3 linked regions of the Schizosaccharomyces pombe genome follow. The protein of the gene in region 1 interacts with the protein of each later gene in a pairwise test. Each region holds a gene or a part of one and is shown in the gene's direction. Other genes may lie near its edges.

Region 1 (5,336 bases):
AAGGCTCGACCTGTATCTGTGCCAGATATGTCGTCTCCCGTACCTGCTTCTTCAGTTGAATATGAGTCTCTCAAAGCCGCCGTTACTTATTCGCCTTCTCAAAATCCCAAGAAGGTTGCAGAAACCGATTCTGAATCTCGTAAATCGTCTTTTCAATCTTCCTACAATGATGCAGATCGACCTTTCCAGGTTGGCGCGCAGACGCAATCAACACCGAATCGCATTTCGAGGAGTGATTCTCCTATTGTATATGATGTAGACACTCATTCTGAAGACAACGCTAGTACAGCATCTTCGGAAGCCATTTCTCAATCAATGCGTTCTTTTCAACCTCAACCGAATACTGGGAGTCCATTTCCACGTTTTACTTCCACCAATACTGAAGATGAGCAGGAGTCAGATATTCCTCAATCGGATGCCAATGATTCCACTGTGAATTTGAACCAACCTAACTACGCCAATTTAACTCCTACACCTCAAGTTTCACCGAAACGACCTACTTACTCAAGAAGCTCACCTTTGCCTTCGGCTTCTGTACCCGCCCTTGGTGATGGGTCACCAGATCCTCCAGCTGCTCCGTCAATTCAGAATTCTTTGAGTGTCCACGAATCTGAAATGCCACCTCATGTAACCAGAGACTATACACAACCAGCTGCTAGTGCAACACCAGTACCTAAAGAAAAACCTTCTGAAAAAAGTGAAAAACCTCCTAAAAAGAAAGGTTCCAAATTAGAGAAGTTTTGTTGTATTTTGATGTAAAATTTATTTTTGTTTTTTTTAATATTTTAAGGATTGGCGTCGAAAGCATGTGTCTATGAAGGATTCAGATATCCAAAGGAAATCGTAATACTTGAAGGAATTAATTTAATGGTTGTTCACGTGCGTACTTTCCTGTCTGCTTATATCCATATTATATTTCCGTTTTAATGCATACTCATTTCAAGACACGTGTTATCATTAACGTTGATTGGGATACACATAACCTCTAGAATTACATGTTTCAAATCTTTTTTTTATTGTGGAGCGTTATGTTAAATTTTTTGCCTTGTTTTTTGAACAATAATAACATATGAACATTTAGTATAGTGTTTTAGCAGGAAGAATTTCATATTTTTTCGAATAATGAAAACTAGAAACGTTGAACTCATGTGGTGCATATCGCGTTAACTCATACTAATTTATACCGGGTTCGATTGGTCATGGTTTTCAGATCTCTTTAACCTGGATATCCGATCTTGGAGGTTAAATGGCATATTCTTGAGGAACTTTTAAATTTCTATTTGGTTTAACAAAGGATAGTCTTGCTTGTCCCACATTTCTTTTTCTCTACGAACTTCACTTTATTTTAGACTGGGCATGAATTACTTTGTACGACAAATAGAACAAAAGGATTTTTTTTTCTTTTGTTCATTTAAATCGGTGTTATGAATGAACGACAGACCATTAAAAGAAAAAGCAATTTATTTCACCTCACTGATTTACAGTCATTGGTAAGTTGGAACTTATAATTTATAGCTTTTGGAGTTTGGCGAGTTTATGAAAGCAAAATTAAATTGAAAAAGCTTTTTTTTAATTTTCTTTTTCGCAAAAGCTTTCTGAAATCTAGTGTCGAACTTTTATGTTTGCAATGTAGGGATGAGATGTTTTTTGAGAAGTCGGACTTCGGACTTCCTCCGATCCGTCTTAATTCAATTTTGATCCGTTTCCAAAGAAAACAAAAAGCTTTATTTTTAATTTATGTAACTTTTCGTTCTGTTTTTCTAATGCTACCCCTCAGGTATGTGGTAAATGTACCTACCTGTATAACTTAGTTTTTGTTCGCAAAAACTATTTTGATTATTTAATTTCAGTATTTAATAATGAAATTAAATCAAAATTTGAACGACTTTCATCAAAATTAATGAGCTTCTGTATTTTTTCTACATTTATTCCCAATTGCTCAGCACGATAAGTTTCGTAAAATCGGATTGATATAGTAATCTACACGCATCAACGTGACTAACACAACTTGGTTAAAAATTTTTATCGGAATTGTTAAAAACGAATAATTGGTGCTTAATTTATAAATGAAAGCTTTATTTCATAATAAATCGCTTACTGAAAATACTTTTTAAGGAACATTTTTTGGACCCGCACATTTTAACTACTCAGAAAACGAACGTCCTATATTGTAGGTATTGCTAAGTGATTGGCTTTTTTATTCTATTTTTTAATATCTTTGGCATATCTTAATATTTGCTAATCGACTGTCGTTGCACTTGTACATTGAAAAAATTGTTACCGGATGGAAAATTTGAAATCAGCATCGCCGGAGGAAGACTCACCTCGCCACGGGGATAACATGGGGAAACCAAAAAGAATTCCTAGAGCTTGTGACATGTGTAGAAAAAGGAAGATTCGCTGTGATGGAAAGCAACCTGCATGTTCGAATTGCGTTAGTCACGGAATCCCATGCGTATTTACAGCTAGACCTAAAAGAAGAACAGGTCAGAGACAAATGTACATTAAGTCGCTCGTTTCTAGATTAGAACAAATGGAGTCTACTCTGAGATCCGTAATTCCGAACTACGACCAGCAGCCTGATATTATACATCCCTCCTCTACTCCCAAAAACTATCATGATCTAAACTGTACGAAAGGCGAAACTTCTTCCGATGACTCCACCGACGATATAGCGTTTTTGAATGAAAAAATGGGGACTCTCGTCACTACTCCGATCGGTTCTCAAAAATATTTCGGCTCTTCATCTACCTTTTCCATTATTCAACATGCTGCAAAATTTGCATCAGGAGTTGAATCCGATAAAGTTTTAGAGCATCTGTCCATGGCTAAATCGGGTTGTTTGTTTGATCCTGATGAGAGTTTCGATGGCTCAAAAGCCGAATTACCTTCTTCAGAGATTGCCAATATATACATAGATGCCTACTTCAAATCATACAATCCTTTATTTCCTGTTTTTACAAGAGAAAATTTTTACCAAAAATTTGGTTCCCCAAATTGTTTCAAAAAACCCGATGGTTCCATTGATCTGGTTAATTATGCTTCATACGTTGTTGTTTTATCTCTTGGTTGTCTTGCTATAGCGGATACTGAAGAGCAAGTTTCCCGAGCTAATGCTCTATTTAAAAACACTCTCGGAATCAGTATTGAAGTTACTAAAGATATGAGCTTCCGTACTCTGGTCTTCAATTTTCTTACTTCAGTCTATTATTGCGCAGTTTCCAAACCAAATGCGGTCTGGTTGAACGTTGGTGTAGTCGTTAGAGTTGCACAAACGCTAGGTCTTCATCGAAACAGTGCAATGTGGTCTATTGGAAAGGAGGATGCGGAAGAGAAAGCTCGTTTGTTTTGGTATATATATTATTTGGATAGAGTATCCTCGATGATGACAGGAAAACCCGTTGCTTTTCAGGACGATGACATTGATCAAATGGTGCCATTTTACTCTATTTATTGCTATTATGGACTTAAGCCACCCGAAGGAGATCCTTTGGGTACTTTTAACTTTTTGGAAGCCGAGGTGCAGTTAACGCGAATTGTTGGCCAAGTCCTAAAGGAACTATACTCAGTGAGTGGCATGAAGTCTAATTCTTCTCAAGTTATGGAAAAAATACTTGAGTTTGACCTTTTGCTAAACAACTGGTATAACAGTCTTCCCGACTGTATGCAACCTCGGAATCGTTTTAAAATTCCCAAATTTTGCTCGAGCAATCTGATTTTAACATCTGCTATTTATTATTCATGTTTAATCCTTATTCATCGTCATTCTCTTACAAAAAATCTTCAGGTGAATTGTGTCCATAGAGGGACTGGCTCTATAACAGATTCTCAAGCTTTATGCATTGCGGCAGCTCGCTCCATTACAAATCTTTTCGTGGAATCGGTTGATCTACAGCCATTGATAATGAAAATCATTATGTATCATGCCTTTACATCTTCGATTATCATCTTTATCAGTATATTGAAGCGGCCTCTTGCTTCTATATGTTCTGAAGATTTGAATTGTTTAATTTCCGTAAAAAATCGTTTAATAAGTTTTGAAACACATGGTTTTGTTCGTTTGAATGTCGTTATGGATGCTTTAGAAAGTATGATCTCGACTGCTCAGGCAGCTATGCAAAAGGCTAAGCAAATAGCAATCAATTTTAGCAGCAACTTAGCTACGAACGAAGATGTTACTAATTCTGGCATGCCTGATATTGCGGATGTTTCCCTAAAATCGCAAAGCCATGTACCACCACGTATATCCAGCAACCATTCAGATACAAGTGTTAAAAGCAATTCTCCCTCCTCTATATTTGATAACAGCGGGTATCTGAACTCTCTTAATAACAGCATCTTACAAATGCATCAAAACCTCCAAAATTCATCTAACACAAATGACCAGTATAAGTTTGATTCTGTTCAGGAAAATGAGCTACATGCAAATATAACTCCCGTGTTAGATCAAACAATGTCAATGTTCCCGTTTAAGGATCAGTTAGATCTAAATTTTGCTGCTGCTAATGTTTACAATCCTAATGTTTTTGATGATATGGGTTTGGATTGTAGTTTTTATGGGAACGGTCTATAATTAACCTAAATTATGTTTTATTAAATAGACGTCGTTGTCTAGATGCGCATGATATGATAATCCTTTTGTTTTGTTTTTGTTTACAGATTTTTACACCTTAATAGTTATTTTATTTATTATTTGGATGGTCCGTTTCTGTACGAAGTCATTATCAGTCCTTTGGACAAATTTTCTAAATTGGCAAACAATTATGAAGAATGCCCTAATGCTTTTATAGCTCACTAATTGTGAGCATGCTTTTTAAAGGACTTTTATATGCATGTGATAATTTTAAGTCCGAGATTGTCTTTCTTGATTGACAGCTAGTGCAGTAAATTCGGAGAGCCAATGCTCGGCTTCTTTCGTATTTTGGTGGTCTGGCCCTAAGGTTTCCTTTAATATGTCGTAGGCCACGCGCACTGCATGCAATGCGCTACGACTGTCCTTGTTAAGAACCATTAGTTGAGCCAGCTGTAAATACAGAGAAGCAGTAGGTGTAGTTTTGCCGAAAATTTTGTCTGATAGATCGACTGCAATTTGCAAACACTTCTGACTCTGAATGAATTTTTCAGAGCCATGTAACATAAGAGAAAGATTAGTAAATGAGTTAATAGTATTAGGATGATCTGGTCCAAAAACCAAATACCACAGCTTTAGTGCATGCTGCATATGCATCACTGCCTGCATTTCATTTTTTTGAGAGAATTCATATAGAGAAAGATTCATATAAGCCAAGCTGGTTTCCGAAGAATCAAATCCGAGGAATCGTTCACAAACAATTACA
Region 2 (3,898 bases), on another chromosome or scaffold:
CAGGTAATTCACCATCATTTGCAGATGGAGTGAAAGAAAAACAAGTGGATTTTCGAGATCCTGTTTGGAAATCCGTCTCCAGGCAAGCCAAAGATCTGATATCAAATCTTTTAAAAACGAATCCCCCAGATCGGTTCACAGTCAAACAATGTCTTTCCCATCCCTGGTTCGCGCGACATAGTAGTCGTCTCACCAAATTATATGAAACTCGTATTCTCAAACCTCTTAAACATTCCCGGCTATAGCCACGTAAGAAAATATTCGATAAACTTGATAAAACGATCGAAGTTTCTCCACATAAAAGCTATGTGTCTGAACTATGTAATTCTAACATTACTTAATTAAGTTATTTTTAGCTATAAACTATAAAATATGAACACATTTAATCTTTAGAATTAATCAGGCAATCCAACTTACGCAATTAATATAAAGAAATTTTATTACTTAAGATATGAGTGACCATCAATTTGTCAGCCATTTTCCCTACCTTAAAAAAAAACAATTTTTAGTCTCAATCAGCGTAAATTTGGTATTTTATAGATATAAGCATCCTTTTTTTTTTAATAGCTTAAAAAAACTTTATAAAAAGATAATCCTCTCCCTCCGGGATTCGAACCCGGGCTGCAAGCGTGACAGGCTTGTGTACTACCCCTATACTAAAGGAGATTATTGACCTTGTGTATAATGTAGCCTTATATTAGGTTTTTTATGTATTAAATGGCTTTTAAAATACTGTGAAATTAAATAAAAGAAGCTGTAGAAGATTTGCTGTACTTAAAGTTATCCGGATCATGAAATTTAAGGGAGAGAAAGCAGGCGTGGCTCTGTACATATGATTGATCTTGTTGGAGCTTTTCTGCTACCAATATTTTGATTATTGTTTACAAATTTGTTGTCATCTTTAACAAATCCAATTAACACTTGTGTCAGGTGTTGTTCTTGGTTTGAATTTAATACAAGCTATAGCACTTCTTGTGACTGATTTAATGGATGACAGTAGACATGTTGCATGCAACTACAGTTTTCAATAGCTTTAGCTAAGATGAAGTAATACCCTGGCTAAAAACGTTCAACCAAACTCAATGTTAATTTATTCATCTACTAACGATTATGTTATTATAGCTAACAGTTGTGTCATATTAATGAAACATAAATTTGACAAAAAAATTTGGGAAATACGATAATTCAAGCAAAGATATATTAAATTAAATTAAAATTTTATAAAAAAGCAATGTTATAGAACATCCAAAAAATCAGATCGAATGAGAAAAGATTTATCCAGAGTTTGGTAAAATTACTTGAAAACGTCAAATTCTCTTTCCAGGCTAATTAAGTTAAAACATTTTATGCCGCAAAAATTCCGCATTTATTTACACTAAAATCACATAATATAGCTGCTTTTTGTTCAAATATAATTATGATTTCATGAAATTAATTCAACATAACATTACTCGTTAAATAATTTTTATTCAATATTGGTCGACCTAAGGACAGTATAAATTTCCAAATAGCACAAGAGAGAGTGTAAATATATTTTAAAAAAATTCATTTAATTATTATCAACTTTAACGGCTCATAGATTATAAAATCAGGTCAATCTGCATTAATTCAAAAATATTTAACGAGGTATAACGGTTTTATGCGTACCACTTTAATGAACTGTAAAGATTCACGAATGTGTGATAGTATAATATTAACAACGGATACAGGTCAGTACCCGTAAAACATTCCTGTCTTCAACATTGTACCACCAATTTTACTCATAATACAGAACTCATTAAAAGAAGCTTTGATCTACTTCTGCAAAAATTTGGATTGTCAAATCTTCTCCTGTTAGCATAAATTCTTCTCTAGCTATAATTAGAAATCATTTGATAAGTTTGCATCCATTTTCTTTATTATAGATTGCAACTGGTTTATTTTATTGTAATCTCGTTTTTACTCACAAACTATTAAAAATTATCTATCATCATGTCTATGCCCATTGTTCGTGAAGTTAATAGTGATGGTTCCATGTTGCAGCCCTTTAGCAATCCCTTGTGGGTGCCTACTCCAGTTGGTAGATCGGGTAGAAAGCATAGAACGCTTAAGATGTGTATTGTATTACCAGACACTGGGTACGATGTTACTCAGGTTTGCGATCCTTGGCAATTTTTTGTAAAGGAGGGATTCATGGTTAATTTTGCTACTTTGACTGGTATTGTTGCTCAAGCCGATCAGCGCCTTTTAAGTGGAGTGAAATCTTGGTTCATCGGTGCCACATACAAGACTAAGGATATTTATGAAAGAATGTCAACTACCAAAGAATTTTTAAGTCCTTCAAATATGTCTGATATGAGCTTTACCTTTGAAAACTTTGACTTGGTTTATGTGCCAGGAGGGCAGGATCCCGCTGTTTTAGAACTTGTAGAGTCTCCTCGTCTCAGTTCATTGTTAGCTGACTATATACCTTTATGTGCCCGTGTTAGTGGCACCCGCGTTTTAGCAACAATGGCTCAAGGAGCAATCGCTGTTCAGCGGGCTGCTCCCAATCTTGAGATTAAATCGACTACGACTCCACTTTATATGGAAAGAGCGTCTTATTTATTTGGCGCATCTAATCCTCCGGCTTATACTTATACTTATATTCCTGAATCGAAATACGTACCAGGGCCCAAAACTGCTCACTGGGTTTATTCGGACGAAAAGTTTTTCTATGCTTCCGGTCGTTACTCTGGCGATGTTGAACTACTTTGTAAAGCTTTACGAAATCTCGTAGCAAGTGCATTGCATTAATCTTTCTTATTTGTCTTTACTATTTTATCTTATACTAAACGTGTTAATTATTTCTTTGTTGAGTTTCCCAGATTCTATTTTAATTTCATATTCTATAAATTTCATATTTCTGCGTATTTAGAGTTATATTGCAATAAAGATAATTCAATTTGCGAGTTTGGCTTTTGTTTGATTTGGAGCATTTTATGGCCCTTGTTTATCGTTCATTTTTAGTCCTAGAACTCTAAAAGTGTATTAGACCTGTTTTAGACTGTACCGTTCAATACCGTCGAGGCATTGAATTTTTACAAACATGCCAGAACCCTTCAAAATAAGAACTGTCACATGGAACTCTTTATTTTCATTGAGGCCGGATGCCAAATGCTAATTTGAAATGCTCTTTTAGACAGCTAATGCAAACGGTTCGGGTCTAAATTTGATATTCTTTTTTTAATTAGAAAAACCAATGTTAAATTAATGAAATTTTCGAATCTGTTGATTAAATTTTTCGATAGTGTTTCAATCTATAAGCTCCTGTGCTTAACAAAGTGCAATAACTAAAAAATAATTATATTAACGTGAGGAAAATAATGTTGACATAATAGTACCTACTGATGCTGCACTCGTATCTAGATTCATAAATCATCATGCCAAACGACATTCATAAAGTTTGACCTTAAGGTCATTTTTTATATATCTAACCGTATTTTATAAGGCAATGTCATCTGAAAAAACCCCGATCCATTCCCAAGCACGATTTTTTGCCAAGCGCTCACTGTCCCATACCTTTACGCTTACCATTCCTTCAAGGACTGAAACCACCTTTTCCCATATTTCTAATTGAATTGACAAAGGGAGATGTACAAGTTCAAAAAGGCCCTTGTCATCTGCGACTCCAGATACAAAACAGTCAGAACGTAGCTGCACGACTTCTACACGAGGATTGACAGAAAAATCTGTCAAGGACTTTAGCTTGGTTTTTTGTAGCTTAGCAATACAATGTGAAACGCATACGGAGACTCCATGCTTTACTACATGCTTCTTGGCATAGACTCTTATTCGCCATACAACGGTACCGGTAATAGCTGCCAATATACCAATCAACAAGTAAATTCGCCAACAGGATATAACTGCTGAAGTCAAA
Region 3 (3,605 bases), 870 kb from region 1:
TTATCATCTGCAATGGCAAGTCTTCATTATCTAAAGTTTGTGAAGATAATAGCCTTATCTTATATTTGCTTCTCTTCGCTCATACGGATTTGTCATTGCTGGACATATTTTATTCGTATTATGGGATTATCCAGCTTAAATAAGTTTGTCAATCTATTGCATGATTTTGAAACTACATCTAATCGTGTTTACTCCCAAATTTGTGAATTGGAAGCAAATTCGGCAGCAAATCGCTCCCGGTTAATGGACTTCCTTCCTGCCAATGATCCTTTATTGTTTAATCTTACGGAACAAAATACTTTAAGTTACGAACTGTCTGGTTTGTATGAGAAGCTTTTACCTAGATACCAGCTGGTTCTGTCAAGAATATATCCGTATGCAGCTGCTTCCAACCTTAGAAACCTATTATCACTATATAGACTTCCAAATTGCTTTGGTAAATTAAATTCGTTTGACCTCCGAAAAGGTTCCTCAACAAGCTTAAAACGGAGTTCCATGTACCTAGCCCGTAAAGAAAACCAAGACTTTGATGACCAATCCACCCAAATTCTCAATCACATCAAAACTGCTTATTATGAATTAACTATAATCTCTAAGCAAGTTCTATGTTGCATACTATCGTTTCCGGTTGATTCATTTTTAGCTGAAAGGTCTTCATGGCTCATTGTTCACCGGGAGGTAGGTGACCTCTCTAATGCATTGTCTGTGTCGATGGTTCGTCTCGTTGACATCTTAAAGTTTTCAGTTGAATCGGTCAACCGTAATCAACATAACACTACTAGCAAACCTTTCCCCAGGATCATGTGCAAAGAAAATTTGCGCAGTCTTTTTAACGAGTTGCACTCTGTAATGATGGAAACTCATGAGTCTATCAGCTCATATATTCAAGAAGGAGACAATACAGCTATGCAGACATATGCTATGGATGAATATGATCAAGTTGGTTTACTGCTCAAAGATTTGCTCTCTGAATGGGACTTTAATAGAGCACTACTTCTCAACTTGCAACACATGCACCGAAAGCGTAAATAATTTTGGCTTTCAGAATTTTAAACCATATTTTGCTTTTATGATCTTTTTTATCCATTATTGTCCGTTTCTGTTATACGTCTTTCGGAACCTTGTTGGTTTTAATAGTTAGGATAGTTATTATAAACTATTTACAAATCGACATTTATCTAGGTTTAAATGTCGTTCAACTCAGCAATGATGTCTTTGTTGCTTAAAAATTTGCCTTAACCTTTCGTCCTGTATAATATTTTAGTTATACCAGTTTATCTTTACACTTATGCTTATGCTACTTATTGCAGGCGCAATTTTTTAAAAAATTAAATTAACATGAATTTACTATTATTCTATGAATTTTCCTGTTTTTATGGTCAAAACTGTTAAATTTTTTAAAGTTTTGATGGCTGTAGATTTAAAGTATAGATCGCCAATCGTGCGTTTACAAGTCATGCTACAAAAAATTTACTAAATATATAATATAAACATATTTAATTGATTTTAAAAATTTTCAGTCATTAATTCTCTCTGTATTCGAGTTTGTTTAATAACTACAGTATAACAGCGCTCCATTCTTTAACCACATGTCAGTACAGTATCCACCACAACATTCTGTTCTGCTCGTCAGCAGTGGATATGACCATACCATTAGATTTTGGGAAGCCCTAAGTGGAATATGCTCGAGAACAATACAACATGCGGACTCTCAGGTAAATCGTTTATGTATTTCACCTGATAAGAAGTTTCTAGCAGCCGCCGGAAATCCTCATGTAAGATTGTACGACATAAACACTAGTAGTCAAATGCCATTAATGACCTTTGAAGGGCACACCAATAATGTTACAGCCATCGCTTTTCATTGTGATGGTAAATGGCTTGCCACATCGAGCGAGGATGGAACAGTAAAGGTGTGGGATATGAGAGCCCCTTCAGTTCAGCGAAACTATGATCATAAATCTCCTGTTAATGACTTGTTAATTCATCCAAATCAAGGTGAACTGCTTTCATGCGACCAAAGTGGACGAGTTCGTGCATGGGATTTAGGAGAGAATTCTTGTACACACGAACTTATTCCGGAAGAAGATGTACCTATGAGCAGCATTACTGTTGGATCTGATGGTAGTATGCTTATTGCTGGGAACAACAAAGGAAACTGCTACGTTTGGCGAATGCTAAATCATCAGGGTGCTTCATTGCTTCAGCCCGTTGTCAAATTTCAAGCTCATCAGCGTTATATCACTCGCTGCGTCTTGTCTCCTGATGTCAAACACCTTGCTACATGTTCTGCCGATGCTACAGTGAATATATGGAGTACGGAGGATATGTCATTTATGCTTGAGAGACGACTTCAAGGGCATCAAAGATGGGTTTGGGATTGTGCGTTTTCTGCTGATTCTACCTACTTAGTAACCGCATCTTCTGATCATGTTGCAAGGCTTTGGGAGTTATCGAGTGGTGAAACAATCCGTCAGTATTCGGGTCATCACAAAGCTGCTGTTTGTGTTGCTCTTAATGACTACCAAATTTAAGTGTTTCAAAGCATTTTTCAAAATAAGTTTACGAGTTATGTTTTGTTGTATTTTTAGCTCAACTGATGTTGGAAAATTACTTCTATATATTCAAGTTTATTACACGCCTTTATCCTATTTTACCTTTGCTATATAGATTTTATTCACCAATCTTCTTAGGAAAACAAGAGTCTTGTCTTGTCAACATTCGTTTATATTAAGTGTGTCTGATTTCAAGACGATTTCTTAGTCACTTACAAATTTTTTATAAATTATATTCTTCCCTTGATACAGTATTTGCTAGTTTCATATCTCGGAGTTTTTATGATAAATAATAGTCTTAAGTGATGATAACTTTTGAAAATTTTCAATGCTTATTAGTGTAGTTTAACTTATTTTACAACTTTTATCTCTAAACATGATAGGATTAAGTAGGAAAAGTTACATATCCTCGTGTCCTTAAATGAAATGAAATGTATATCTTCATTAGCTTTCTGGTTAGCGAAGAAGCGAATTTGATAATGCAAAATTTGAAGAATTTAGTCTCGCTAAATCTGCTAATTAACTTACCGAGACTTACCGTAGTAAGATACGAAAAAAATTTCTAGGCCGTTCGACACAGCTGACCTTAACCACAACTCACAGCCAGCACATACTTAATCTCGCGAGGAGAAAAAACCTTCGATTTATAGCTCACTCTTTCCACTAACAATGTCTACTCAACCTCTTTTACAAACTACTCCTGGTAAAAGAATTGCTCTTCCTGTTCGTGTTGAACCTAAAGTTTTTTTCGCTAATGAACGTACTTTCCTTTCTTGGTTGAGCTTTGCAGTAGTTTTGGGTGGTTTGTCAGTTGGTTTACTTAACTTTGGTGATCGAATTGGTAAGATTAGTGCAGGACTTTTCACTATTGTTGCTATTGGTACCATGGGTTATGCTCTTGGTATTTACCACTGGAGAGCATCTGCTATTCGACGACGCGGAAGTGGTCCTTACGATGATCGATTGGGACCTACCATTCTCTGCTTTGTTTTGTTGGCAGCTATTATAACCAACTTTGTTCTTCGTATGTTATTTTGAAAGGATTAAGTC

The links.
Region 2: the proteins of prt1 (region 1) and SPOM_SPAC14C4.04 interact in a two-hybrid assay, tested with the Schizosaccharomyces pombe proteins (one large-scale study listed by BioGRID).
Region 3: the proteins of prt1 (region 1) and wat1 interact in a two-hybrid assay, tested with the Schizosaccharomyces pombe proteins (one large-scale study listed by BioGRID).

What each region holds. Positions count from the first base shown.
Region 1 is NC_003423.3:794,299-799,634, forward strand, and holds prt1 (transcription factor), read left to right. Parts: upstream 1-2,000; 5' UTR 2,001-2,284; coding exon 2,285-4,573; 3' UTR 4,574-4,696; downstream 4,697-5,336. Other genes in the region: Tea1-anchoring protein Mod5, read left to right, coding at 1-759.
Region 2 is NC_003424.3:5,232,322-5,236,219, forward strand, and holds SPOM_SPAC14C4.04 (uncharacterized protein), read left to right. Parts: upstream 1-1,738; 5' UTR 1,739-1,971; coding exon 1,972-2,775; 3' UTR 2,776-3,340; downstream 3,341-3,898. Other genes in the region: mek1 (meiosis-specific serine/threonine protein kinase), read left to right, coding at 1-245; LEM domain-containing protein Man1, read right to left, coding at 3,463-3,898.
Region 3 is NC_003423.3:1,661,358-1,664,962, forward strand, and holds wat1 (TORC1/2 complex WD repeat protein Wat1/Lst8), read left to right. Parts: upstream 1-1,583; 5' UTR 1,584-1,589; coding exon 1,590-2,534; 3' UTR 2,535-3,003; downstream 3,004-3,605. Other genes in the region: myosin-binding vezatin family protein Inp2, read left to right, coding at 1-1,032; vacuolar transporter chaperone (VTC) complex, GTPase regulator subunit Nrf1, read left to right, coding at 3,225-3,593. UniProt on the Schizosaccharomyces pombe protein: component of both TORC1 and TORC2, which regulate multiple cellular processes to control cell growth in response to environmental signals. Nutrient limitation and environmental stress signals cause inactivation of TORC1.